Linked DNA regions of Caenorhabditis elegans. The protein of the gene in region 2 purifies or fractionates together with the protein of the main gene of each other region. This does not show direct contact. Each region holds a gene or a part of one and is shown on either strand. Other genes may lie near its edges.

Region 1 (5,893 bases), on a different chromosome or scaffold from region 2:
CTGAGCATCTGAAAGAGCTTTTTCGTGGAAAAGAGTTGCGAGGCGAGTGTATCGAGAAGAATCAGAAGTCATATCAGGAAGAGTTCCACGAAGAGGCAGAAGATTATTATTCTCGGTGACAAAACGACGAAGAGCTTCACAGATTAACCAGAATGGGCGTGTCGATGTTGAACATTGTGGAGAAGAGAGAATCGATTTTACAGAAGAACCAATCTGAAACTTACTAGAAATGAGAATCAATTTGGATAATTTATCAAAAACTTACCGTAGTTCTTTGAAAAGCTCGAATAACCGCCGCTTTCGCCTCATCAAAATTCTCAGAATCCTTGGTTCCGGATTCTTCACTCGAACGTCGGAAACTCATAAGAATCGCCTGAAGTTCTTTACGTTCCGCAGTTGTAGATGGGAACGCTTCAGGATCATTTCGTTGCTTTCTGAATACTTCGAGAGCTGAAATTAAGAAGGTAAATAACAGAATACAACCATAATTGCGAGAAAAACCTTTGAAGTGAAGAAGAATATACGGAGTATGGCGGAGTTGTTCTAGAGTCATTTCATCTAGATTTGTTTCATTGATCATTTCAATAAGCTTTGAAAATGGAGCATCCAATCTGAGAAATAAAAACTTTTTTGGAAGTTTTCATGTATATTTTACCGTAAATCAGGTCTCGGATTCTCTTCGTGTGAGTTAGCAATTGTGTGTTCTTTGATGCAGATTCGAATGGTACCAATTAGTCCAAAAGTTCTGAATTTTGGAATTTTAACTGCAAGAACTTCAAATTTTGAAAATATCGTACTTGATACAGATGAATGGAACTCTAATATTATACAAAACTTTCGCGAACGTCGTATCAATTTCTTCATTTTGATTTGCAGCAACAACCACAGAAAACGTTGTCAGCTTTTCCACATCTTCCATAGCTAACGCTGTTGGTGGCTGACTACTTGCACTACCAGAGACTGATGGATTCAGTTCGGTAAGCTTCTCCAATGTTGCCTCGGCACGAGAACGTCCAATATCATCTGCATGGAGGAAGAAATTCTGACCGATGTCAGCTTGTTCAACTTTGGCGTCATCAACGACATAGAATGATTGAACACCGGCGAGAACCAACGATTTCAATATTTCTGTTGCTAAAAATATTTAGATTGGATTTTTAATTCAATTTTTTCAAAAATACCTAGCGAATCGCTTCCAAGAACACATGCACTTGTTGAACCAATTGATGCTTGTCCTTCTTCTCCCCAAAGTCGAACTTGACGATCGTATCTAGTGGATGGGTCAAATGGTAGCATTTTCTAAAATTATACAAGTTGGAAATCTGAAAATTTCGTTTTGGTTTCTAAACAAAAATATACATTATGAAGAGTTCACAATCAATTAATATAAAAAATTATAAAGAATCTCAAAAAAGAAAAATATATATAGACAAATCTGATATTTATGGCAAGATTATTCAATAAAAATTTTACACGAAGTGTATGGCGAGTTTCACAAGAATGATAACTACATATTTATAAAAAAAATTATTTTTTCTCGTGAAGAGATTTACGATCCCATTTCAAATTGGTGAACGAATCGGGGCGAAGATATGTCAGCTCTTCGTTCTTGTTTCTCATGCAGGCAGTACGACCGAGAACAAATAGAAGATCGCTCATTCTGAAATTGATATTTCTTACTAACGATGAATCGATAACCATAGTACCTATTCAAGAACTTTAATGCCATTGGATCGACGTCTTCGTCTCTCATAAGTGGAACAATACTCCGTTCAGCTCGACGACAAATTGCGCGGGAATACTGTAATTGAGCAGACGTCATTCCACCGCCAGAAAGAATAAATTGTCGGATTGCAGGCAACGCGTCTCCGTATCGATCGATTTCTGCATTTATCCATTCAACCATTGCAATATCGAATGCAGTTTTCTCTGAAAGAATAGAATACGGCTCAATAGTGATTTTTAAAAATTATTTTTTAGAAAAATATAAAGCCAGAGACCTTCATATGAAAATCTCCGATCTTTCCTCTATATGTGATTTTTATTTTATTTTAATTCAATAGAATTAACTTTTTTTTTGATAAACCAAACTTGAAAAAATTTGTTTGGTTTCCGAAAAAATTTCAGTTTTTTGACTTTCTCTGAAAATACCAAGTCACTTCGACTACTTTCTTGATTCGAAAGAATTTTCCGGGATTTAAAATAAAGATACAAAATTGAAAATCGGTAACGGAAACTTTAGATTTTTCACTCTTTAGAAAAAAAACACACTTTGTTTTCTCTCCGAAGAATTTTTTGGTGGAGTAGCAAGATGAGCTCCAACATCCTGTAGACAACATTGAAGGCGTGTTAATGTCTCCACTACATCGCTCATTGAACCATCGTTTTGAGCAGATGCTCCACAGACACCAAGAAATGAAGACAATTCATCGGTTGCTCCGAGAGCATTGAAAGTGTCGTCATCTTTCCAGCGACGCTCATTGTTGTACAGAGAAGATTGCCCAGAATCACCAGTTCCACGGCCTGAAAATTTAATTTTAACGTAGTAAAATCGGTTGCTCTTTCAGTTGAAATAATCGATGGTTTTAGACGTTTACCTTGTTTAAATCCTCTTCCCAAATCAGAAGAGCTCATCGAAATGTAGAGTTGACTGTTACGGGACAATGAGGAAAAAATGAGAAGTTTGTTCGTCGATTGTGATGCCAACCGTACGCAACTCCGAATCATCTAAATGCAAACATAGGTTTATCAGTTGAAAGTGGCCACTACGTGGTGACAAGGAAATTGCTAATGGTAAATTTTTCTTAAATTTTCGAGCTTATTCTATAGATTATTTGGTATGAGAGATGATGCATAATATTACCCTGGTATTATTGAAACAAAAAACATGACAAAACGAATCATGAATTATTGAAAAGATCCGGTATCATATTTTTTGAACCGAAAATGGTCATGTTTCGAACCTAGGTAACTTTTAAAAAAATGTATATACATAGGTATTTTTTTAAATAAATAGTAAACTGGAAAACCTGTTTAATTTTCACTATGAGACCCGAAGAACTCGGGGGATGTCCAACTGGGGGGATTACCAACTCGGGGGATTGGCCCCGCCCACAGAACCGTGGCTTGCAATACGCCCATTTCTGCAACTGCCGCACGGTTTTAAAATCATTTTTTCTTGTTAATCCTCGCTCTATTGATAAAAATACAATTTTAAAATCGTGCGGCAGTTGCAGAAATGGGCGTATTGCAAGCCACGGTTCTGTGGGCGGGGCCAATCCCCCGAGTTGGTAATCCCCCCAGTTGGACATCCCCCGAGTTCTTCGGGTCTCTTCACTATCGCTGATAAATACCAGAAATATGAATCGAACTGAAATGAACAAAATTTTTTAAAATACGAAAACCATGACTTTTAAAATTATTTCATTTAAAGAACATAATAAAACACTTTTTAAAACATAAAACTATTCAGACTAGCTGAAATTAACTTTAAACACGAATGAATAAAGACTTGAATGGGAGGTTGTTTTGGAAAGACCAATTGTTCAGAGTTCAAGGGAAAATGAATGATTTCAGAGATGTTCAAGTATAGAGAGATAAACAAGAGACTGTAGAGGAAATCCTCCAAGAAAACAATTCGTAAACCTATAGAGAAACAAGAGATTTGATAAAATGTAGAAGTATCTAGTTGAAAAGGGGAGCTTGTATCGTATAACATACACTCAAACAATTGTTCAACAATAACGAATTCCACTAATAATACAAGGATTTCTCAGCTCACCATAAGGAGAATGAATAACAATGATACAGTTTTCAATATTTAAAAAAAAAGTAGGAACCGGCCTATTCTTATCAGATAGCAATTTCCAACTTCGAACCAGCGAATTGGGAATTGGATAGGAAAATTTAAATAAATAAAAAATATTAAAAAACTAGAAGAGATCGAATGGAATATAAATTTTAAAAACTAGACGAATCATATCAATTAAGATATCCACGACACGTCTTCGCACCACACAGACAATCTATTTTGTCGTCTTCAATTGGGAACTTGTAGTCATACGTGATTTCTTCACCCTTCTTGATAATTGTTCGGCTGTAGATGACTATCCGCTTCTCGCCTTCGATTGTAAGAACCTAAAAATTTTAAATTATTTTTTTAAAATCAGATTATCAAATTAACTACGTACCTTCGCGTAGCAATTAGGTTGGCACGAGTGATTAATAAATCGAGCAAAATTTCCACGCTTTGTTGCATCGATCACATGATGCAGATCAATTCGGAACAGATATGAACTTCCGATTCCACGACGTTCATAAGCCTTTTCTCGTTCTTCGGCCACCAGAGATCGGATCTGAAAAAAAATCAATACTTCGGAATTTAATTTCACAAAAAAAACTGACCGTCTGTCCTATATACTCCACAATCATCTCATCTGGTGCAATCGACTCCATCGCGTAGAGACCCCATCCGTGAATACGAGAACGTGCAAACTTGATCATCTTTTTGCGGAACTGTAAATTTATGTTTTATGGCAAACATCTTTTTTTTGGAAAACTACTTTGAGCTGATTTATCTTGAAGAAATCATTGTTAGCATCACCAAGTGACGTAAGCAATCGACGTTGGAGCAATCTCATATCTTTACTGGCCAGATGCTGATGCCGAATCGCGGTTTCATCTCTTTCACTGAAGATTGCAGTCGGATGCGATTCATTATCAGGACGTCTCACAAGACTCCTTTTCTGCTTCATTGTCATCTTCTCGTATGGTCGAGCACGAGAGCATCCAGCAGCTACCGGAATTACTCCATCGAGTTCTTCATCCTCGTAGAAAGCATCTGGCAGTCCTTTTTTCGAACGAATCGGGTTGAGCTGAAAATTATGTTGATGAATAGAATAGTAGTAAAAGTATAACTCACTCTTAACAGAGGATCTTCTGATCTCAACATTTCTTTGAAGGTTAACATTTTCTTCCAGGGCAATTCATCAGCACTTTTAACTTCACTTTGCATTTCATTAAGTGCTGCCCTCAAATACCATTGATCTTCCAAATCGGGCAGATCTTCGCAGTCTCCGATGATTTTCTTCTTTTCCTCTTCAGATCGTGGTTTGAATGTTTTCTTAAAGCGTGGCGGAGGAGCTGGGCGCTGAAAGATCGCACATTATATTATTTGACAAAGCAATTAATTAAATAAACAGAAAATACTTACCTTGGTTGGTGGTGGTTCATAATACTCGTAGGGATCCTTTTCAAAAACTTGTTTTCTCGGTTTCTGCTTCTTCTGGACTGTTTTGGGTGCAGTAACAACATCCATGTAAATCAAGGGTCCGGTTTCCGCAACATTGTCTATAGGTCCCCATGGAGCTGGTGTTATTTTTAGAGGTTCACTTCCTGGCTCCGATTTGCACGGTGAATGATCAAATATTTGAATTTTCGGTTGCCTTGGATCGTCTATTCCGAAATAGCAGTGTTCCGTTGTGAAAGGATGATACTCGTGGGCTCGTATGGAGTTTGCCGGAAGATTCATTTCAATTATACCTGCTTTCTCCCAATGTACTATTTTATATGGTAGATACGAAGAATCACCGATTATTGGACCAGAAGTTTCCACTGGCTCTGGTAGTGGTCTCTCTTCACCTTCAATCTTCGAAACTCGTTCAGAAATAAAATCTGTCTGTGATTTCTTTTTCGGTGGTTCTCCGTCCGTCTTCTCTTGTTGAGGCTCCAAACTACTTTGCCTACTTGACACAACTGATGTTGCAGTTGATCCTGTTGTAGACGACTCATCGCTTGACATAATCAACTTGCGTTTTCGTGACTTTTCATCAGCAGTTTCTTCCTGCTTCATTGAGCTTGTAGACGAAGATGAAGAAGTTCGAGAGCTCGATGA
Region 2 (7,909 bases):
CTATTCTCGTTATGGAATTCAATGAGGAGGGCCATTTACTGGCGACTGGAAGTGCCGATCACATCGTGAAAGTCTGGAATCTGACAGAGCAACAATGTACACACACATTAAAAGGACCCTCGGTAGTTTCAGCAATTCTGTTCGGAAAACATGAAAAGCTTGTCGTTGGATACATTGAAGGACAATTGAACCTCTATAATATAATGAGAGGTGCTCCGAAAAAACTTGTAAACACATGGAAAAGTCATAATTCTCATATTACCGCACTGCTTCAAGTTCCGGATTCACGAGTTGTTGTGGCTCTTTCGCGAGATCAGACGATGAGTATTCATGAAACAGAAACTCAAGAAACACTCCGAGTTCTTCCACTCTACGAATCAATTGAAGGCGGAGCAATCGGACATAACGGAAATCTTTTCACTGTTGGAGAAGAGGGTGTTGTTAAGGAATTTGTGATTGAAACTGCGAAGTTGGTCAGAAAGAAAAGGATTGCCAGCTCGAATCTCGATCACTTGGCCTACGATGTTGTTTCTAATCGCTTTTTGGCAATTTCCGCCGAACAAAATCTTATAATTTTGGATTTTGAAAATCTGAAAATTGCAAGACAAATTGTTGGATTCCATGACGAAGTGAGTTTTATAGTTGACCTTGAAAGAAAAACAATGATTGCAAATTGGAATTGAAAACCATTTGTTGATATCATTTTTGTCATATCAAGTTGCTTTAATGTATAATTTTTCGAATGTAAATCTTTTATACAAAATTCGTAAAAAAACACCGAAAAACGAAAATATTTGATTTTATCATTTTTTTAATAATTTTTTCTTTGAATATTACCACTTTTAATATGCTCTCAAATTGCCAAGTAATATTTCTACGAATAGTAATAATTGGATTTAAGAACCTTCTTAATTATTATTCCCTATCTTCAGATCTATTCGTGCTGTCTTCTTGGAAAAGATGAATCTCACATGGCTGTCGCTTCCAATACTTCTGAAATCCGACTCTACAACACTAAAACCCTGGATTGTCAATTAATTCGTGGTCACACAGAATCAGTTCTTTCCGTAGTATCTCCTACCTGGGACACATCTCTACTGGCATCATGTTCTAAAGATAATTCGATTATCTTTTGGAGACTTGTAACATCTCCTGAAAATGACTCTTGCTCCACTCTGGTCCCAGTTGCGGCAGCTACAGGACATGCAAATACAGTAACTGCTCTAGCGATTTCCAATACCGGACGAGCTCCTTTCCTGGCATCAGTATCAACGGATTGTACTATCAAATTGTGGGGATTGGGAGTTTCTACAAAACTAAAAGAAGTCAAAATTGATGCAGAAAAAGATTTTGTCGAACAGCTGTAAGTTTGAAAACATTTTTATTGCGAAAATAATTCACTTTCCAGCCCAAAACTGACATGCAGTTCAACAATGGTTGCACATGGAAAAGATGTGAATTGTGTTGATATTTCCGAATCGGATGCTCTTATTGCCACTGGAGGAATGGATAAACTAGTAAAATTATGGCAAGTGGATACTCACAAAATGCAATTGGGAATCGCTGGAACTCTATCAGGACATCGTCGTGGAGTTGGAGATGTTAAATTTGCAAAGAATTCTCACAAACTTGCATCTTGCAGTGGAGATATGACCATTAAAATCTGGAACATCTCGGAAAAATCTTGTCTTCAAACCATTTCCGGACATTCTTGTGCTGTATTCCGAGTGATATTCGCTCGCAACGATTCTCAGTTGATCTCTGCAGACAGTGCTGGAATCATCAAGATTTGGACAATCAAAACTGCTGATTGTGAATGTTCCATTGATGCGCATACTGACAAAATTTGGTCGCTTTCGAAAAATCATAACGAGTCAGAGTTTGTGACTGCTGGAACTGATGGGCGGATTGTTGTCTGGAAGGATGTTACAGAGGAGAAACAAAAAGCCGAGGATAATAAGAGAAGAGAGGCTATTGAACAAGATCAGACTTTGACAAATTTATTGAGTCAGAAGAGATATTCGGAAGCTCTCGTGTTTGCACTGACTCTAGCCAAACCGTTTTGTGCTTTTAAGGTGATTAGTTAAATTCTATTAAATGAGTTTTGAATTATCCATTTTAAACTTTCTTTCCAGGTTATAAATGCTCTGATGGCTGAGGAGACACCAGAAGAACTCGGTTCCGCAATTCGCCGCCTTGACACCCGTCAAATTGAGATTCTACTGCAATTCACAGTGAAATGGAACACGAATAGTCGAACATCGTCAGTTGCACAACGAGTTTTGTACGAAATTGTTCATATCGTGGATCCAGAGGAGTTAGTGTCAATGCCCGGTGCATATGGATATATTGAATCATTCCTACCGTACACCCAACGGCACATGGATCGATTGGATCGGGCAAAGCAAGATGTTAGCCTATTCGATTTTGTTTGGAGACAAATGAGAAGCTCTGTCTGAAACGTTAAAACTTTTTTTGTTATTGTTGTTGGTTTTTGTTGAATTTTCAAGCTCATCGGATCTCTATAGTTATCTTTTTTATTTTTAAAGTTATTTGTTGTTTTTTTTTTGTTATAGCTCAATAATTTTTATAAAATTTGTTTCCTTTTCTCCTTTTCGCTCAGCCTAACTTAATTCGTTTATCACGGATTTTAATATTTTAAACATTTTTTTCAGTTAAATCTCAACCTTAACATTTATTTTCAGACAGAGGAAACATGGCCACTAGCAGCTCCGCTTTCGACGATGAGCTCCCAATGGAGGAAGGTAAGAATTTGATTTAATGGATTTTTTAAATTGAAAAATTAATAAAAAATAAAATAGTATTTTTTTCAGGAATGCCGGAACTTCTCGATGACGAGGATGTCCCAAGCACACTTCCATCACTTCTCGAGCAAAATTTGGACACTGCTCCAAAGGGGGATGAATTCAAATTGGTAAGTTGTCAAGAAAATTTTCTGTGGAGTTTCTTGATTAAAATTAAAATATCTCAAATCAAAGAATCAGTCATAATGGTTTTTATTTTGATTTTATAATACGACGGCGGTACTTTAACACACGAAGAAAACGACCTGGCCGACTACAAAAGGACAGTTTTTTTCTTGCCCAAAAATTCTTCTACTTTTAACGTCTTTCCTCATTCTGCTGCAAGTTTATTGTCGTTTGTGGCTGCGGCGGTCGCCTAAACGTCTAGAACGAGAATATGGAAACATTATGAGTGTTTTTGATGACGTTGGAACGAGTATGATTCAGAACAAACACTGAACAGAACGTATAATTTTTTTTGTTAGTTTTTAAAAATTAAAGCTGAATTTTTAAAAAAAATAAAAACAATTCCAAATTCCATAATTTTCAGGTAAAACGTAAGAGAAAGTCTGGAAATGCGATTGACGTCGTCATGGAAGACGTATCACAAGTCGACGAAGACGCCACCGCAGACACTGCAGATGACTCCACTGGACCAAAATCGTCGAAACGTACAAAAGGAGTGAAAGGAGAGTCTCGTGTAGTTCCGGTACCAAAGCATCGTTATACACCTCTCAAGGATAACTGGGTCAACATTTTCACACCGATCGTCAAAAATTTGGGACTACAGGTGCGTTTCAACTTGAAGAAGCGACAAGTCGAGATTAGAAATCCAGTGGATCGAGAAGACACTACAGATTTGCAAAAGGTTATTTTATTTTCTTATTTTTACATTTAATTTTAACTTTTATTTCAGGCCACAGACTTTGTTCGGGCATTCATTCTCGGTTTTGAAGTCAATGACGCTATTGCTCTTATTCGACTTGATCACCTGTTTTTGGAGACTTTTGAGGTAAACTTATTTCTAAATTTCTGAAAAATTGAAAAGAAACGCAAATTTTTTCTTCTTCTATCGGGTGATTCCACCAGATTGACACTTTGAAAATTTATTTATTAGACGACGAGTGACGGAAAATGAAACTTTGAGTTTTTGAAAATGTTCTGATATCTATTCAATAAATGTCAAAAATGGTTCGAGCGCTGAGATTGGCATGACGCTGAAAGACAGGTCGTAAAAAGAAGAAAGAGCAAAAGCATTTTTAAGAAAAAAGCTGTACATCGGAAAATATTTTCAGAACGGAGAAGATATTTTTGTAGAGTGGGAAAAGAATAATCTGAATTTTGTGTCAATTTTTTGTATAGTCCAGACGCGATTTTGCTTTTTTTTTTTAAATCACAACACTTTTTTTTTTTGCTGAAACTACTGTATCCGGTCTCGTCACGACAATTTTTTGTTAAATGAGAAAAGTTGTGCTCCTTTAAAGTGTAGTGTATTTTCAAACTCTCATTTCTGTAGATTTTTCATCGAAATTGTGGAGTTTTCAAGAAAATATTATGTATTTCTTAAAAATTCAAAAATAACGATGTAAACACATGAGATTTTTCTAAAAAATTCGTTACAAAATTGGGCAAATTGAAATTGCAGTACTCTTCAAAGGCACATGTCGAAACCGGGTACTGTAGCGCAAAATTTTCTTCCATCCAAAACAGAAAATCAGGATTTGGCGCCTTCAATCCTACCTTCTGCCCTTTTTTTCATTTCTGAATGTCTCATCGAAAAGCTCACTAACCTTGAAACGGTGTATAGAGAAGGAGCCATGTGTGTGTCCCACTCTTACACAAATGTCCCATTATTATCATGCTTCCAATTCATCCTTCGCAACCCCATTTCAACCTTTTTGACGCCAAACACCCGGCCAAATAAGCGTGTCTTTTTCCTCTATTCATCTATGCTTCTCCCTTCCTCGTTCAGTCGCCACTCCGCCTCTTTTTTGTCGCAGACGCGAATGAAGCCGGATTACGGTAGTTTTTGGGACGGGAAATGCTCGCAGCATTTATGTACGTTCGCTGTAATCAACTGATAAGAAATTATCAAAAACTAGAAGAAAGTAGAGGAGTTAGACATTTTGGGCCAAAAAAAAATTAAAATGAATATTTGTTATTCTAATAACAGACCTTAACAAATGATCAAAAGCTGTATTTGACAAGACATATTTATTTGATAATATAAACAATATTTTGTTGTTTTTACGAAACAATTATTGATAAGACACCACTGGTCTTACAGTTAAACTATTTATTCCAAAAATCACAAAATTCCAGGTCGCAGATGTGAAACACTCGCTGAAGGGCGATCATGTGAGCCGTGCCATCGGACGTATTGCAGGAAAAGACGGACGTACCAAACTGGTCATTGAGAACACAACCAAGACGAGAATTGGTAGGAAAAATGTCAGTGATCTAGGAAATTGCAAAAATTGAAATTTTTCAGTTGTCGCCAACACCAAAATTCACATCCTTGGAGCCTATCAGAACTTGAAACTCGCCAGAAATGCTGTTTGCAGTTTGATTCTAGGTGAGAAATTTCAAGAAGATTGGATTTTAAATGTTAATCATGATTTTGAAACATTAAAAAATTTTTTTTGTAAATTTGATTCCTGATTCATTGGTTTCCGAAAAATGCTGCCAATTTAATTGTCTGCGCCGTTTTTTTTGCACTTTTCGCGTTCGCCGTTGACACAAAAGCCTTTTGTGCGTATATGAGAAACATCCAAATTACATGGTGTCAATGCAGATATGTTTTTTTTGGTAGCTTTTTCCAAATTAATTTGCCATTATTCTACTTTTGTCTGTCTGTCACTTTTTGTGCCGTCTGGACAGGACCTGGTTCAGTCACGCAATAGGCGGCAGAAATATCAGAAGAGTAGGGGGACGGCAACACATTCATACGTATACATACACTTTCCAATACCACCGTGTCACATTTGATGGGACGCCATGAAAATGTGTGTTTGTACACAAATTCAGTGCGCACATGAAGATGAAGAATATAGAAAAAAAGCGAAGAAATGCCATTCGGGATGGGGTTTTCTCTGCGCACGAACACATCGTGGTTGCATTCCTGAAGGAGAAAGAGAAAGGTCGTTGCACTCGGTTTCTATTGCTGAAATGATGATGGACAGTTTGAGGTGTTGTGGTCTCACAAACACATATTCTTCCAAATATTACAGTGCATTTTTATTAAACATTGCAAAACTATCGAAAGATATATGCCCCTAAATTTAGATATTTAAAAATATCAAAAATCAAACTTAAAACTATTTAAAAACGAAATTTCAGGTTCGAACCCATCAAAAGTGTACGGAAGTCTTCGCAACATGGCATCGCGTGGAGCAGAACGTCTCTAATCAACAATTACATTTTTTCTGTCTTTTTTTTGTTTTTGTTCATCGTATTCCTTGTTCGTTTCTTTTTTAATTGTTATGTTACCACACCAATAATGCTTGTTTCTATATCTCAATTGTTGAGTTTGTTGAGATGATTTATGAACTTATACTTGGAATCTGCTAGTTTTCGGAACCTTCCCAATATAGTGCCCCTTCACCCATTCAGTCTAGACGTGCTCATTGTGCTCATCTCGTGCCACGAGCACCTCCCAGCACCACCATCCCACCGATCTCCGCCCTTTTTCGTACATTTCAGCACATGCAGTTTTAGACGTTTTAATGTCGTTCGCGTCGCGAGCCGCCGACGTTCGTCTTATCAGTAAGTTGACAAACTGCCAATCAAACAAAACCCCCAATGTGTACTGACTTTGGTTGAAGATTGTGAACAAGAAAAATGTTGCGACTTTTTTTTTGACTACGTTTGCACTTTTTCAAGATTTTCGCAACATTTTCAAGGAATGCAATCAGGCGGCAGCAGTCGGAAAAGAAATTGATAACAGAATGATCAATCACAAAATGGAGGAAATTTTCAAGCTTCAAAAGAATTTCAGCACAAAGTCCCCCTGAAAAGCTACGTGGATTCTCACAGAATGAATCCGACCTTTCCAAATGTTTTTTTTTCGGTTTAATGTGTTCGTTTGCGTTGCGTTTTCCGAATGGCATCGTCCTCGTCGCAAAACCGATTCGAATTGGTCGGTCGGTCGGCAATCTCCATTTTATGACCGTTTTTTTGGTGCTGCTGAGGCTGCTGTTGACTGGGATGTACCTTTGTTTCGCGTTGAGACCCCCGATCCATCTCATCGGGAGGTTAAAGCCCTCTTATTCATGTGGTTTAGTGATGTTTTTTTCTTGGTAAATGAGACAGAAATGGATGGAAATTACGGACATTTTAAAATTTTAGACAACAAATACGGTACCGGGTCTTGACACGATCAATTTTTCAGAGGACAAAAGAGTGTGCGCCTTTAAGGAGTACTGTATTCGCAAACTTTTCGGTGTTGAGCGGTATAGCTTTTTTTTCGTTGTTAAATTTTTTAAATAAATAAATACATTTTTATTGGGAGAACTGAAAATAAAACTTTTTAAAAACTCAGAAGCAACGAAAGTTTAAATTTAAAAAAAATATGTTTTCTGAAACAGGAGAAATTGGGAAATACCCTATGGTACGGTAACGGAAAAGTTTCATTCGTGCTAAGACCTTGTCTATGGGTTTCTACATGGCCGCGGAAGAGAAAGCTCGGCCGCCAACTTTTTTTCTGGAAATTGCTGTACGATCAAGTTTGCATACAGAACCAAGACGATTTAAAAATGAAAAGTTTATTGAAAAATCAAAAATAATAAAAATAAATCAATAATTATTAGACTCGATGCGTCGTGTGTTTGTATGTTTGGAAGTTCTATACATTTTTCTCTCCAAAAAATGTTTGGTTTTTTAAAACCAAAACATTAAAAAACATGATTTCACTTTTTTTCAAAATTATTACCACCGGGGGTGTCTAAAACGGACCGGTTAACTGTTTAGGATTTGATCCTATTTTCCGAGATAAAACAAAGAGAGAGGGAACGAGAATGAGAGACGCAGAGCGAGAAACAATACAGTAATCCTGGGAAAGTGTGGGCGGAGCTCAGCTCAATTTGGGCGGGGACAGTGGGAAATCG

Evidence for each region. Proteins that work in one complex are often made in the same cells at the same time.
Region 1: the proteins of pno-1 (region 2) and mmab-1 fractionate together in Caenorhabditis elegans (co-fractionation; one large-scale study listed by BioGRID). This does not show direct contact.

What each region holds. Positions count from the first base shown.
Region 1 is NC_003281.10:4,919,021-4,924,913, forward strand, and holds mmab-1 (Corrinoid adenosyltransferase MMAB), read right to left. Parts: upstream 2,728-5,893; 5' UTR 2,635-2,727; coding exon 2,598-2,634; intron 2,524-2,597; coding exon 2,272-2,523; intron 1,930-2,271; coding exon 1,707-1,929; intron 1,661-1,706; coding exon 1,528-1,660; 3' UTR 1,422-1,527; downstream 1-1,421. Other genes in the region: ula-1 (NEDD8-activating enzyme E1 regulatory subunit), read right to left, coding at 1-219, 266-450, 502-611, 656-745, 798-1,134, 1,182-1,296; Histone-lysine N-methyltransferase set-2, read right to left, coding at 3,982-4,137, 4,191-4,355, 4,405-4,515, 4,563-4,874, 4,922-5,149, 5,213-5,893.
Region 2 is NC_003280.10:9,737,681-9,745,589, reverse strand, and holds pno-1 (RNA-binding protein pno-1), read left to right. Parts: upstream 1-2,705; 5' UTR 2,706-2,716; coding exon 2,717-2,765; intron 2,766-2,834; coding exon 2,835-2,935; intron 2,936-3,354; coding exon 3,355-3,672; intron 3,673-3,720; coding exon 3,721-3,816; intron 3,817-5,126; coding exon 5,127-5,244; intron 5,245-5,295; coding exon 5,296-5,379; intron 5,380-6,143; coding exon 6,144-6,211; 3' UTR 6,212-6,364; downstream 6,365-7,909. Other genes in the region: Y53C12B.1 (U3 small nucleolar RNA-associated protein 13 C-terminal domain-containing protein), read left to right, coding at 1-629, 933-1,363, 1,409-2,075, 2,136-2,459. UniProt on the Caenorhabditis elegans protein: Part of the small subunit (SSU) processome, first precursor of the small eukaryotic ribosomal subunit.